Tribolium castaneum: one gene and its partner. The protein of the gene in region 1 purifies or fractionates together with the protein of each later gene. This does not show direct contact. Links are inferred from orthologs where the notes say so. Each region holds a gene or a part of one and is shown in the gene's direction. Other genes may lie near its edges.

Evidence for each region.
Region 2: the proteins of nonsense-mediated mRNA decay factor SMG7 (region 1) and regulator of nonsense transcripts 1 purify together in Homo sapiens (affinity purification with western blotting; 7 studies listed by BioGRID and IntAct, with this or other methods). This does not show direct contact. The link is inferred for Tribolium castaneum from reciprocal best matches to the Homo sapiens genes SMG7 and UPF1.

Annotation. Positions count from the first base shown.
Region 1 is NC_087397.1:133,628-141,307, forward strand, and holds nonsense-mediated mRNA decay factor SMG7, read left to right. Parts: upstream 1-3,333; 5' UTR 3,334-3,479; coding exon 3,480-3,511; intron 3,512-3,560; coding exon 3,561-3,777; intron 3,778-3,829; coding exon 3,830-4,101; intron 4,102-4,152; coding exon 4,153-4,338; intron 4,339-4,384; coding exon 4,385-4,761; intron 4,762-4,812; coding exon 4,813-4,956; intron 4,957-5,006; coding exon 5,007-5,199; intron 5,200-5,249; coding exon 5,250-5,374; intron 5,375-5,418; coding exon 5,419-5,639; intron 5,640-5,823; coding exon 5,824-6,405; intron 6,406-6,455; coding exon 6,456-6,674; 3' UTR 6,675-6,759; downstream 6,760-7,680. Other genes in the region: Surf4 (surfeit locus protein 4 homolog), read left to right, coding at 1,384-1,563, 1,616-1,702; phosphoglycerate mutase 2, read right to left, coding at 82-915; iron-sulfur cluster transfer protein NUBPL, read right to left, coding at 2,006-2,540, 2,585-2,750, 2,802-2,943, 2,995-3,078. UniProt on the Homo sapiens protein: Plays a role in nonsense-mediated mRNA decay. Recruits UPF1 to cytoplasmic mRNA decay bodies.
Region 2 is NC_087397.1:525,649-533,508, forward strand, and holds the start of regulator of nonsense transcripts 1, read left to right. Parts: upstream 1-3,427; 5' UTR 3,428-3,760; coding exon 3,761-3,940; intron 3,941-3,992; coding exon 3,993-4,220; intron 4,221-4,264; coding exon 4,265-4,444; intron 4,445-4,490; coding exon 4,491-4,703; intron 4,704-4,755; coding exon 4,756-5,147; intron 5,148-5,558; coding exon 5,559-6,629; intron 6,630-6,690; coding exon 6,691-7,714; 3' UTR 7,715-7,860. Other genes in the region: sodium channel protein Nach, read right to left, coding at 772-974, 1,015-1,269, 1,314-1,494, 1,540-1,765, 1,815-1,945, 1,993-2,140, 2,187-2,347, 2,398-2,517. UniProt on the Homo sapiens protein: RNA-dependent helicase required for nonsense-mediated decay (NMD) of aberrant mRNAs containing premature stop codons and modulates the expression level of normal mRNAs.

The DNA of each region.
Region 1 (7,680 bases):
TGACTCAGCACATTTGTTTACACAAACATGATAATAATTATTAAGCAAATCGTTGTTTATAGAAAATAACATTGTATATAATTATTTGGCTTTTCCTTGGTTGGCTACGGCTTCCATGGCCTTCTTGACCGTTTCTGGATCGCCTAAAAATTGCAAACTGCCTCCCTGTGCTGGTTTCATGTTCTCTTGCAGCATATAAACGAATGGAATTCCAGTCGGTAGATTAAGTCCCATTATTTGTTCATCATTAAGTTGATCTAAATGTTTGACGATTCCTCTTAGACTATTTCCGTGCGCTGCAATCAGAATTCTTTTCCCGGCTTTAATTTGTGGTACAATAGTTTCGTTCCAAAAGGGCAAAGTTCGTTCAATTGTCAATTTGAGCGATTCAAATTTGGGGAATTGTTCAGGAGGCGGTCCGTTTTTGTATCTCGGATCGCATACGATGTCTTTATAGTGTGGATGGTCATTTTCCATGGGGGGCGGCGGTACGTCAAAACTCCGCCTCCAAATGGCCACTTGTTGTTCGCCGTATTTGGCGGCAGTTTCAGTTTTGTTAAGGCCGGTTAATGCGCCGTAATGACGCTCATTGAGACGCCATGTCGTTTGAATGGGAATATCGCATTGATTTAGCGTTTTTAAGATAATCTGAAGAGTGTCTTGTGCTCGACTTAGGACCGAAGTGTAAGCTTGGTCGAATTTATAGCCGGCGTCTTTGAGGGTTTTGCCGGCGTTTGCCGCTTCTTGTTTACCTTTTTCGCTCAATTTTGCGTCGTACCAACCACAAAAAAGGTTTTTTTGGTTCCATTCTGATTCGCCGTGACGGACCATTACGATTTTATACGGTGCCATTGTACTGTAATTTACTAGAAATTGTGACAGTTTGGGTAATTTACGTGACACGAGTTTTTCCATGATTGCTTGTTTTTATTTTATCATTTAGTATTATTATTCAACGATTTTTTTGGGAGTTGTCCCACAACTATTTTGAAAGGCAGAAAAACAAAACTTAGTAACAAAAAGTAGGAACTCTTTATTTTATTGTGAATTTTAAAATTCCAGACTGTATCGTTTGTGTCTAAACACTTTTGAAAATAACTGTATTCTTTATTTAACATTTTGCACACCAGATTTGAACGTTGGGTATACGACGTGGTTGGTTGTAACTTGAAGACCAACTTAAATTTTTCAGATGAAAATTACCACCAACCGTGATTAAAAAAATACTATTTATGGTAATGCCAACCTGTTGATAATGAAAAAGAATCAATTATAACTTTTTAGTATTCTTTGAGTAGGTATTATGTTTTCTAATATCTTAACAATTTAATTTAATTTTTTCTCTTGTCATTATTATTATTTTGTTACAATAATTATTTTCAGATTTTGTTGGATTTGTTGGGATCAGCACTTATGGTTTTAGTGACAGTAGGGTACAAAACGAAATTATCAGCGCTAATTTTGGTTTTGTTACTCACAACGTTGAACTTTTATCATAATGCTTGGTGGAACATTCCGTCGTATAAGCCATTACGTGATTTTTTGAAGTATGACTTCTTCCAGGTGAGCGCAACATTTAAGTATCTATGTAATTATACATTTTCTTGATTTTTAGACTTTGTCGGTGATTGGTGGTCTTCTCATGATTGTATATTTAGGTCCAGGAGGGGTTTCAATGGACGAGCACAAAAAACGATGGTAATTTAAGTTATTTAGTGAGCAAAATTATTGTGACTGAACAATTTCATTTTTAAAGAATTTTCCTATTTTCTATTACTGTCTTTATTAATTGATTGTATGAAGTTGTATTTTTAATAATTTAAAAGAAAAATGTACATAATGTGTAATTTATTTAAGTTTCATTATGACCAACCACAAAAAACAAAACGTACGTACTTGGATACAAAAATATATGCTCAACTATACTTCCATCGTTATGATTTAAATGTATTTTAAGTAGGTTTTATTATGGGTTGTTGCAAGGATTAATAAAACATATTTTTCACTATTCATTGTTTCGTTCCAAAAAATCTACAACTTTTTTTGCTAAATTTACAAACAAATCAGTTTGACAACTACGCGGATATTTTATCACAGTGGGCGTACCTTGATCAGTACTTGACGAAATATTCTGGTCCAATGGAAAGCTTTGAATAATGTCAGTACCTATTTCATTGGCCAAATTTGAAGTTCCCGCTCCGAAAATTTGAACAGTGTTATGACAAGAAGGACAAGTCACTGACGACATATTTTCCACTAAACCAATAATAGGAACGGATAATTTTTTATACATCGCAGCTCCGCGTTTTGTGACGTCAAGAGCAGCCAATTGTGGCGTTGTAATAAGAATGACGCCCGATATTGGAATATTTTGAACCAATGAGAGATGAGTATCGCCAGTCCCTGGAGGCGTGTCCACAATTAGATAATCAATACGCCCCCAATAAACTTGTCTCAACAATTTCTCTAAAGCTTGCATCACCATAAGACCTCTCCAAATCACAGGCGTACCTTCAGCTATCAAAAAACCCATTGACATACTATGAAAAAAACAAAATAAACACTCATTCTATTCGAAATCTACCATTTTATGCCGTAATTCGTAAGGGGCAACATTTGATTTTTATCATTTAATAAAGGTGTTTCGTGCAGATTCATCATTAAAGGAATTGAAGGACCAAACACATCACAATCCAACAAACCAATATTCTTATCTGGATATGCAAATTTTAGCGCAGCTGCAAGATTTACTAAAAATTAAATCTATTTTAACCTCATTAAGCGCCATGAAAAATAAAAACCTGAAGTCGTGCTTTTACCAACACCCCCTTTCCCAGACGACACTAAAATTGTGTGTTTGACCCCTTCAATTGGCTTTTTCACCGGAAGACCTTTACCTAGTATTTTTGTCTGGTGTTGTGTTAAATGCGTACGATTAAAAGTCTACAAAAAAAGTTTTATTTTAAATCATGGTCGAGTCGAGTGTGACATAACCTTAAAAAAGGTATTACTAAAAAGAACCGTGTTTTTAAACGGTATTTTAAAAGTTGCCATTTTAGTAAATAGCTGCGCTACCATTTACCAATCAATTAATTATTTTTCCAAAAACTGAAAAATCCAAAATAATGTGACAAGCCAAAAGAACTATCACGACATTACAACTACAATGTAGGAATTATTATTAAATCGAAAATTGGGTACAATTATTAATTAATTACCAATTATTGTTTTTTTTTTATAATGTTTTTTATGTAAAAAGCTTCAAATAAAAAAATTTGATATCTTAAGTGAAATTATAAAAACGAAAAGTAGTTGCAATGTCGCATTCAAACTTCATCTTAACCTCAAACTCGCAAAATTGTTGATTTCAGGTACACATTTTCGCTTTTAATTTATTCCAGTGATGGATATTCATGATATCAGGTCATACCCAATAATTTCTACACCTTGATACATTTACCCAAACTATCAAATTGAGAATGGGTTATAAAGCAGCTGTTCAAATTCTAAAGTACGTTGCTCAAAAAACTAATTCATTTTTACATCAACTCATATTTCAGACAAGCCGAAGACTTAAAAACCAAGGTATTAAAAAAAAGCGATTTATTATCGGATTCGCAAGCATGGACGGACCAACAGAAATTGCAAAATATTTACCATCAAGCATTGGTACTTGATTTGGAATACGCTCTCGACAAGAAAGTGGAGCAAGACTTGTGGAACATTGGTTTTAAGAATCACATCTCGGTGTTACAAGAGTTGACTCGCGATAAAAAAGTTAGTAATAATATTTTGCGATTTGTGTTGTTAGTTTAATTAAATTATTCAGAACGTCAGAAGATCTGAATGTCAGGCACTTTTAACTTGGTGTTTAGAAGCGGCTTCTGGGTTTTATTTGACACTTTTGCACGAATTGTGCAACGTATATGACATTGATTTACCGTTCAGAAGACGCGGAAATGTTTATGGGGAAACAAATTCAAATGAACTCAATTTGCCTCAATCGTCCTCCTGTGTGTACATTTGCCAATACTGCTTGGTACATTTGGGAGATATTGCACGTTATAGAAACCAAAGAAAGCAAGCTGAAAATTTTTACAAGTACTTATTATTTTTTTTTTTTTGGGTCCCCATTTTATAATTTTATTTCAGGCAAGCAATTTTAGTTTCTCCAACTAGTGGTCATCCTTACAATCAGTTGGCTCTTTTGGAGGCAAGTCAAGGTGATAAATTATCAACTGTCTTTTATTACATTAGGGGCATTGCTGTGAAAAATCCCTTCCCAGCATCCACCACTAATCTATTAAGCACTTTAAGTTCGTCGCTTGATAAAGAAAGGTAATTAGATTAGAAAAGTAATTCTCAAGTAAAAAATAAATTTTAGTCCATTAGAAAAAATTCACAGTAAAATAACGGTAACCGAGTTTATTCAAATTTTTTTGTGCACTCACGCCCTCTTGCACACTGCCACCGATTTAAACCAAGCTGAAGTCGGGGTTAAAAGTTTAAATACAACAATGACAGCTTTAGTAGCGACTCAAAGTTTTACAAGAGAGAAATTAATAAAAATTACTGCGATTAATTTGTACGCTTTAAAACATGTAACTTCAACATCACTCACTGATGAATTAACCGAAGATGAAAAAATTGTCAGACAACAAATTTTGGATTTGTTGGCTGGGTCTTTGAGCGCGTTTCTTATTCCAGTTCATACGCTAAAAAATGACGAAAGCTTGTTGGATTATTACGCACTTCCTGCAGGTACGACAAACATTGTGGCGTTTTTTTTAAATTTTAATTATTTTTATTTAGTGAAACTTTTAACATGTTGGATTATGAACGAATCGGAAATTCTTAACGAAGTTGTTTTTACTAATCGGTTGCAAATTTGGCCCAGTTTGTGCAAACTTTTGAATAACGTACAGCAATACATGAAAAACTTTGACTACACCAAATGTAAGTTGCGTAATTATGAGTGACTTTTTTTAATAAAACATAACTGGTAGATGCCAATGTGCCTCTGTTTGAAGATAAATTGTTGCAAGGCTTTCGGCCTTTGATAAAAAATTTCAAAGAGTTGGATTTTAAGGCGGGTGTCGAGGATGAAAAAACTGATAATTTAATCCGAATGCAGCGTTTGATTGATTTTGGTTTATTTATCAGCAAGTTGGATGTGAATCATACGAAATTAATTACGACGTAAGTCGTTTTCTTTTCATAAGTTTTGAAATATAAAATTCAATTTGTAGAAGTACCGAAAGTGATTTAATTAATTTTGAACCTGGATGCATTCAGCCAGACCCAACTAATGACTTATTGGAGGAAATGAAATCATTTCATGTCACTGATATTTCAACAATTCCTAATAAAAAAGGTGCGTGAAATTGTGTTTTTTACTAAAAGTGACGTTTCAAGTAGGTTTTGAAAAACGGGGCGGTATTTTAAAACCACAAGGTTCCTTGGAAAAATCGCGCGAAGAACGCGAATTATTATCATCGGGAGAACAAAGTCTCATGTCCGATTTAAGTAATTCAAGTGCGTCCTCAAGTAGTAGCAAAAAAGACATTTCAAAAAATAAACGATCCAAGCAAAACATTGCTCTGCAGTCGATTTTTAAAAAACTGGAAGAGAATAAACAGGTAGGTCGTTGCTTCTTTTTGTTCATTATTTTTTTAAAACAATTGTCAACTAACAACGAACTAGTATGAACCACTTAAATCTACTAGTTGTTTCAAGCTCATTAGGTTGGCAACGTGTTATATGGCAATTGTTTAAAAAAAAATTGGAGATTTTAATGCACCAAGAACACTTGATTATCCTTAGGTGAAATTTAAAGTTGAAGAAAAAGAAAAATTGGTGACTTTTGACACAAAGCCTTCTCCGTTTAATCCCCCTTTGCGAACCCAATCCTTCAACCAGAACCATCCAGCTTTCCCTATTCCTCCTCCTCCTCCTCCCAGCCAACCTGATTACCTCAATACTCTCCGGAACGTAACGAAACCTCCACAGCCAAATTCATTTGTTTTCCCTCCCAAAACTGAGAATCCATCAATGGTTCCATTTCAAAATAATTTCAATCAGCGTGTCTATCAATTTCCCGGGGGAAACCCCTACAAAATGGAGGAAACGAATTCGCCTTGGTGGCCCAACACGTCACAGAATTACCAACAACGACCTGATAGTTTCGTAAATTATCCCTTTAGCAATAATATGCCCTATGTGCCCGATTATAATAAGACGCAAAATAATCAAGCAGCCGGCGATATGTTTAATTCACCATGGAATACTTTTGGAAGGACTAACTTACTTGAAAGCAACATGAATTATGAAAATTTGTCGATGAGACAGACGATGCTTAAAGAGGCGACACCACCTTCAAGACCTGTAAGTTTGGAGAAAAAAAATGTATGCGACACGTGCACAAAATATATATATATATGCATTTTTTTTTGAAGAGTCATGATAATTTCATGCAAAATCCCACAACATCTCCTGGTTATTCATTGTTTAATACCAACACTTGGACGCCGAATTTAGTTGGACAGTTGAGGAATAACAAGGCACAGGATAATCAAGTGAGTCATTTGCCTCAACATTCCTTGTTTACTGGACAAGGACCCCAATCGTTAGCCCAATTATTGGAACAGCAACAATCGCAAAAAAGTGATGTTTAGTTTTATAGATAGGTGTATTATAGTAGTTACTTGGTCATAGTGAAATAATGGATTCGTAACAGTTAATAAATCAGTTTTGTTTTTATTTATGTTTTTTTTTACACGCTCCTTAAAATAGTTACTTTGGGAACTGCTTTGCCTCCACAAAATGTCATTTTAAAGGACAAGTACATAAAGTCGTCGTAGCAACACTTTGCGGACTCTAATTTATTTATTATTTGACAAAAGAATAATTATTGTTTCAATAAATCAGTCGTCGCTATGACCATCGATCGACTGCACTTATGATGAAGGTGGATTGTAAACGTAAAGAATTTTACAATTTTGTTCGTTTTAGAGAACTGGTACCAAAAGTTTGTATGCAACACTTCCGCAAAATAGTTTTAGCGGGCTCATCTCATTAATCCGATTTGTCCGCTAAAACTCTATTTTGCGTACTTGTTACATAAATAACTATTAAATATGAACCCACTATAAAACTCGCATAACTTAAGAACAAGACAAATTGAAACCAGATAATTTATTCACTCAAAACATTACATCACAATTGAAATAAATAGTAAATTTTATACAGTTTTTACTAACAATTCCATAGTGCTGTGGTTAGTTATTCAACTGCCAATAAAGAAATGTGAAATAAATAAAAAAATGACAACATTTAAGGAATTGTAGATTTCCAGTCCGCATAGTCTGATATAAAATTTTCTAAACATAGATTTATGTACAAAAACGTGTTTTTCTCCTACTTGGCACCAAGGATAGTCTTTAGGGAAATTACACGTCTATTAAAAAATTCCATTCTTGTGTTAATTCTAAAAGCAAGAATAATATAGCATACGTATGTACAAGTTATTTATACTCATAGCTGGTTTTGTTGTGTTTTAAAGCAAGTGTTTATTTAGAAATTCGGTTTTAATTGCCGTCGTCTATCTTTGTACTCTCTATGGAATTAATTAAAATTTTGATATTAATTGGAATCACGTTAATATCCCTTAATGAAGGGCAA
Region 2 (7,860 bases), about 390 kb from region 1:
GCGCAATAATAATAAAGAAATTTATATTCACATCGAGAAACTATACCATTTGTGGCCTGGCACAATTAACAACAGAACGATTATTTACGATACATGGTGATGGTCAACAACCTCTAATAATTAATTTTGTAACAACAAAGTAACAGAAATGCTCCAATTAGCCATCTTCAGTGCCAGCCGTTCTAACTTTCGTTTTTCTTGTTTCCTCATTCATTGGTGGTTCGTGAGTACTTTTAAAACGATTCTTCCTGTTATCCATTGTTCTCGCTAAACAATTAACAAATTATCGTGATCATCCAATTCGGAACAGTTTGGAAATATTCAAAACTTTGCTAATTACTCTAGAAAAATGTCGTAACCACGTCCACATTTCGTAATGTGATTCCGTCCCAAACAATAGACTTTCTTTCGCTCTCTTGTGATAAATCCTGTTAGTTGCGTAAGTTTGCTTCGAAAAATGTGCGACGACAAATTATTACAAGGAAAACAGTTATCTGTAGGTAAATAATCGCGTGATGCAGACAGACGTTGGACTTTTATTAAAAGGCAACAATGGATTATTAGCCTTGTCTCAATTCCCATCTCAACGTAGCCGTCTGGAACATGAATAATTCAAAATTTATTTCCCAGAATGCTAATTGAGGCCTTGACGCGCCAAGATTTTTCTTCTTTCATCGAAAAAAATTAAAAAAACGTGAAAGTCGTGTGTGATTTACTGCAGTTATTGTGAGAGCTGGAAGAAAGCATTTCACGCCTCATTAAAAGCTGCACCTAATTGACAAATTCATACAAAGTGCCGTACTTATAATAAAACGAATCTAAATTATTATCAATCTCTGATTTTTTTATTTCTTTGTTCCTTTCATGTTTTATGTATTTGTCGCCAAGCGGACGCACGAAAAAATAATAAATAATCTCGACCACTGTGAGCAAACTTGCACCCACAAACAAACCAACAGAACCACCAACTGAAACTAGAACCAATTTGGTAATCAATTTAAATTTTAAATTTACCAAGCATGGTAAGTGGCGTTTTCACCACACTTCGGCTGTAACGTAAAGTCGGAGGATAAACGATAAAGTCAATTCGAACCTGGCTTTTGTCATTTCGGAACTGACTCGAGTGTATTGGAGTTTTTGTAAAGCCAATATTGACGACTTCAACGTCGGAGCAAGAACTCGTACAACTGCAAGAAGTTGTTTTCTCCTTAACTTTCTTGTTATCAATTGTGCACAAAAGCCCCTCAAAATCACAGTCTTTGACTTGATCTAGAAAGTAGTTTTAATTAATAGTTTATGAACCGACTTGTTACCATTGTGTGGTAAAATGTGATAAGTGCAATTGCAAATCTCCCTTTGGGCTTCAACAAGACATTCGTTCACGCAAGCTGAAGTACTGTACAATTTTGCATGTTGCAAGTTATTTTCATCGTAAAATCGACAACCACGATTTGCGATTTTCATCAACCTGGCGGCTTCGTCCGTGAAAGTTTCCTTTGTAACAATTGTAAAACAGTCACTCAAATGTAATCAATTTACTTTAACTGATAAAAACGCCTTGTAGGCTGTTTTAGCAACAATTCCCGAGCTTGTGCGTGAATCTAGCAACACAAACTCGCTGGAACTTTCCTTAGTAGGGACGGAGTCTTGGCTCAACCCATACACAATGAACCCATCATGGTACAGCTCAACTGATAAGTTGCCATAACCGAAATTTGAGTCGCGCGTTATTTTGAAAGGGAGGTCTTCCCGACTTGTGTATTTTCTAATAAAAATTATTTTTAAATTTGTTTGGTGAAATAAAAGGCAAGTACCCTGAAACCAGAGAATTGAAGCCAAAGCAAGGCCCGTGGTAAGTGTCAATGGGCAAGAATTCGTCACAGCAGGGAAATTCTTCGTTGTTGTAAAAGCACGAACTAATTGCTTCCGAACAAGTGCTGCGGAACTGCAATTAAACGAGTGCAGTTATGTTAACTGGGAAAATACCACAACCTTATGCATGTATTGCGAGTAATTTGTTAGCAAGCATTTGTCACGTAGAGCACCATTTGGTTGGCAAACTTGCGTGTGTCTTATGGAACCGTCGAAGAAAACGAAGGTTTCGAGTTTGGGGAACTGTTGAGATATGGAACCGAAAATTCTTCGAGCAGAGAGAGTTATAACAAAGAAAATCACAATTAACTTACTTCTTGTTAGCTTCGAGCATTTTTTTTGGATTTGATCGTTCGCAAATAACAATTGAAGGAAAGTTTGTTTGCCAATTTAAGTAAGATGTGTCCACTGAAAAGGATATTTTTTGGTTTTGATACTGGTCTAGTGCGTTAAACATTAGCATAATCGATGCGGCCTGTGAATCTATTTTATTGTGGTAAAAATTTGACGATTTGTGGGATTTACCCAAGAAGTTAGGACACATATTGTCCAAAAAAATCTTTCAGTCCAGTGGAATCTCTTATCAGCTATGAAATGCAAGCCATGTAGAGACGTGTTTAAGAAATATTTTGTAACAATACTCATTGTAGTGTAGTTGGGAATTTGTAATCAATACTATTTATGAGTTGGGTCATAATGCAGTAAAACTTTAATAAATTATTAATAGATGTGTTGAATTGTCGCTGTACAAAAACCTAATAAAAAGTTAACAGTTTTCAAACTATCAATTATATCATCGTAATATTTATTATGTATCTGTGGGAAACCAGAATGATACGTGAGCATTTAAGTAACCGCAAGCTACTTAAACATGAGAAGAATTAAAAAATAAGGAGTGCCAGTTGTAATAAAGAGCATGTGTGATTTCTATTAATTTAATAAAATACAGTCATTTCTTGATAATGTTTTTATTGAGTCCACGTTCTATTTTTATGGATAAAGTTTGTAATAGCAATATCAAATTCAATAATCATAAATCATAATAATTTCGCCATTTTTCGTCCATTTTTAATTTAATAATTAGGTAGGCAAAACCAAATGCTCAGTTGTTTTATTGGTCATCTACTCAATAAACTTATTACGTTTTTTAGTTTTATTTATTTCGACAAAAACATTCGTAAATTTACGTTCTTTTAAAACGAACATCATTTTATGTTTTTGACTTATTACCGATAAAATTTCACTGAAAAATCGGCTGTTTTTGAAAAATGTGTTTTTTTTATTTTGATATGCCTCTTTTTTGCAGTCATGTGTTGAATGTTGAATAAAAACCGAAAAATCAATAAACTTTATGCTATAATTTTATAATAAAAATAATGTTTAAATGTAAAATTTACAAAAAAGTGAAAAATCAAATCATAAAGTGACGCAGCCTTAGCCACTTCTACAATCAAACATATGCTTATCTCTCTTTAACTTAAAAGATTGCGATACGTGTCTCACTCCGATAAGATGGTAACCACAATGATAACACCGTGCCAACCAACGAAAAAAAGCTTAGGGATTAAATTAGACAATAAGGTTGTGCAATAATCTATTTCCTAAACCACTTTTTAATTTTGAGGCCATAAAAAAGATCAGTGCGCTAAAAACTGAAAAAGATAGCACGAGTGTTTAAGTTTCCCGCTCCGTCAATTATGCTTCGGAAAGAGAAATGACGATAAAAAAACAAATGATTAATCAGGAAAATATGGCGCTTGCCAGGAGAAAAATGTAGAAATTTTAAAGTAACCATAGTCGAGTTGTCATCAATTGAAGTGTTAAAAGTGTTTCATCAGTAAACGTGAATAAACCCGTGCTTCAATTCGTTCGCGACGAAATCTCCAAGATGAGTGTCGACGCATACGGCCCCAGTTCGCAAACTCTCACGTTTTTAGAGACCGAAGAAAACGACTTGATCGGGGCTGACACCCAAGGATCCGAATGCGAATTCACCGATTTCACAATTCCATCGCAAACGCAAGCCTCGCAGCACGACCACGCGGGCCCCAAAGTTTCCGGTGTACAGGTTAGTGCAAGGTCGCCCCCTGGTTCAGTGTCGTATGACGTTGTTGTTTTAGCTCAACAACAACATCAACAACAAAATCGCCAATGCGACGAGTGCTTTAGGGGAACTGCAATTCGAGGAAGAGGATGAGGAGTATTTCAACAGCAAGGAGCTCCCGAACTACGCGTGCAAGTACTGCGGCATTCATGAGCCGAATTGCGTTGTCATGTGCAACTGCTGCAAAAAGTGGTTTTGTAACGGGAGAGGAAACACCTCAGGAAGCCACATAATCAACCATTTGGTGAGGAATTTCAACTTGGAAACTGTTTTTTGATTGGGGTTTAGGTCCGAGCCAAACACAAGGAAGTGACCTTACACAAGGACGGCCCTTTGGGCGAGACAATCCTTGAATGTTACAGTTGTGGCGTCCGCAATGTTTTTGTTTTGGGGTTCATTCCTGCCAAAGCTGACTCTGTTGTGGTGCTACTTTGCCGCCAACCTTGTGCCGCCCAAAACTCACTTAAAGTAAGTCATTGCTTTTAAAATAGGACAGTTTTCAAGCTTTTAATAGGACATGAACTGGGATCAAGACCAATGGAAACCACTCATTACCGACCGGTGTTTTCTCACATGGCTTGTAAAAATACCATCAGAACAGGAACAACTGCGAGCGCGCCAAATCTCAGCCCAACAAATCAACAAACTTGAAGAACTTTGGAAAGATAATGTTGATGCCACGTTCCAGGATTTGGAACGGCCAGGAGTTGACGAAGAACCGCAACAAGTTAGTCTTGTTTGCACAGTTCTAACGTATTTATTATAATTTTTTTTGGTAGGTTTTATTGCGATATGAGGACGGTTATCAGTACCAAAACATTTTTGGTCCTCTTGTTAAGCTTGAAGCTGATTATGATAAAAGATTGAAGGAGTCTCAGACTCAGGAAAATATTGAAGTTAGGTGGGATGTGGGTTTGAATAAGAAAACAATTGCGTATTTTACTCTTGCTAAAACTGACGGGGATATGAAATTAATGCACGGAGATGAGTTGAGACTTAGATACGTGGGAGAAATGCATAAATCATGGGCGGGGGTGGGACACGTTATCAAAGTTCCTGATAATTACGGAGAGGATATTGGCATTGAGTTGAAGAACGGAAATGGGGCTCCCACCGATTGTAACAGCAACTTTGTGGTGGATTTCATTTGGAAAAGTACCAGTTTTGACAGGTAAATTTCGTTGTTGTGATAGAAACAGAAATAATCACGTTAATCTCTTTATGTATCACATTTTTTATTTATTTTTTTAATTAATGTTTTACTGTTAGTAGTCAAACGTTGAAAGTACCATTGTTATAAACTTTCACATTAAATATAAGTATAATATTACAATCAAACTTTATTTTAAAAATCACAGTAATTAAAAAAAAAGCATGAGAGAAGTGACGCATTTTCACTTCTTATTTCCGAATGTTAAAAAAATCTTTGTAAGATGTTAATTTTAAGCGTTGATATTTCAAGCTATATTAATGTGGTAATTTTTTTATAAGGTTTCTAAGAATATTTAATTAAAAAAATAATTATGTGAAAACAAGTTTTCACGTCGTTTTTTTCTGAGCTCGCCTTTATTGTTAATTGCAGGATGCAACTCGCCTTGCGAAAATTCGCCGTTGACGATACATCCGTTTCCGCCTACATCTACCACCGCCTCCTCGGCCACGAGGTCGAAGAGGTCCTTTTCCGTTGTCACCTCCCTAAACATTTTTCGGCACCTAATCTTCCCGACTTGAACCGTTCGCAAGTCTACGCCGTCAAACATGCCCTCCAGCGTCCACTCTCCCTCATCCAAGGTCCTCCCGGAACGGGAAAAACCGTAACTTCCGCCACCATCGTCTATCAATTGGTGAAACAAAACGGCGGTCCAGTCCTAGTCTGTGCTCCCAGTAATACGGCAGTTGACCAACTTACCGAAAAAATTCACAAAACTAATCTAAAAGTTGTAAGATTGTGTGCGAAATCACGCGAAGCGATTGATTCGCCTGTGAGTTTTCTTGCATTGCATAATCAGATACGTAAAATGGAAGCCAATACTGAACTCCAGAAGTTGCAACAGTTGAAAGATGAGACTGGAGAGTTGAGTTCAGTTGATGAGAAACGATACAGAATGTTGAAAAAATTGGCTGAGAAAGAATTACTCGAAGCTGCCGATGTTATTTGTTGTACTTGTGTGGGGGCAGGTGATCCACGATTGGTTCGTTTGAAATTTCATTCGATTCTGATTGATGAAAGTATGCAAGCGACTGAACCCGAATGTATGGTACCGGTGGTACTAGGAGTGAAACAATTGATTTTGGTTGGTGATCATTGTCAGTTGGGTCCAGTTGTTATGTGTAAGAAAGCAGCAAGGGCTGGATTGTCCCAAAGTTTGTTTGAGAGGTTGGTGGTATTGGGAATTCGACCGTTTCGCTTGGAAGTACAATACAGGATGCATCCAGAATTGTCGCGTTTTCCCTCCAATTTTTTCTATGAAGGGAGTTTGCAAAATGGAGTTTGTGCCGATGAAAGGAAGTTGAACAAGATTGATTTTCCATGGCCGGTTATTGACAGGCCCATGTTTTTCCACGTGACCCAAGGGCAGGAGGAAATTGCCGGGTCTGGGACTAGTTATCTGAACCGAACTGAGGCAGCTAATGTCGAAAAGATCGCCACTAGGTACGAAAATCATTTGGTTTTTTTTCTGTTTGCCTATTTTTTTTAATTTGCTTTTTTACAGATTTTTGCGGTCGGGAGTTAAACCGGAACAGATCGGTGTTATAACCCCATATGAAGGTCAGCGAGCTTACTTGGTCCAATACATGCAGTACCAAGGCTCACTTCATAGTAAGACTTATCAAGAAATTGAAATTGCAAGTGTCGATGCGTTCCAAGGACGTGAAAAAGATATAATTATAATGTCATGTGTGCGTTCAAATGAACATCAAGGAATTGGATTTTTAAACGATCCTCGACGTCTCAACGTTGCATTAACTCGCGCTAAATACGGAATAATAATAGTCGGGAACCCGAAAGTACTATCAAAACAACCACTCTGGAACCATCTTTTGTCGTTCTACAAAGAACAGAAAGTCCTAGTTGAGGGACCTTTGACAAACTTGAAGGAGTCGCTGATTCAGTTTGCAAAACCGAAAAAACTGACAAATTCGGATAATCCGGGCTCGCATTTCATGACGACTTCGATGTTTGATGCCCGGGAGGCAATGGTACCTGGCTCGATTTATGACAGGACTAATACTGCCATTAATGGCCAGTTTAATTATCCTCGTGGGGCTGTTCCATTGGATATCTTTAGTAGGACTCACGACCCGATTAGTTACATTTCTCAAGAGAGGGCTCAAGCTGGCATGAATTTGCCGGTTCCAGTTGGCGTGTTTATGAATATGGCCGATGTTCCGCCACGTTTTTACAACCAGCACCAGCAGGCCATGCAAGCGCGCCAACAGCAGAATTCCCGCACTCGCAAACCGACAATGCGCCAGAAGGGCAAGACTTTGAGTCAGGAGCAGACTCAGCCGTTCAGTCAGAGTTTGCAATTGACTCAGGGAATGTCTCAGCCTGGGTTATCCCAGCCCGGGTTCAGTCTATCGCAGCCTGGACTGAGTCAACCGGAGCTCAGTCAGGACCCATATATGGCAGAGTATCAGTCACAGATGGACGGCTTGTTGTCACAAGACTCGACCTATCAGGGAGACCGATCGGCATTCTATCAGCCAAACGCTCAGTTCTCCCAACCATATTGATCACGTTTACACGGAGATGTTTAAAAAAATCGCGGGAGCGGTTAATGAAAATTTGTAAGTGGTTGATCTGATTGTCGATTGTCAAATTATCAGTAACGCAGCACACACAGGTCCATGACGTCGAATACCGATTGAGTAATAACAGA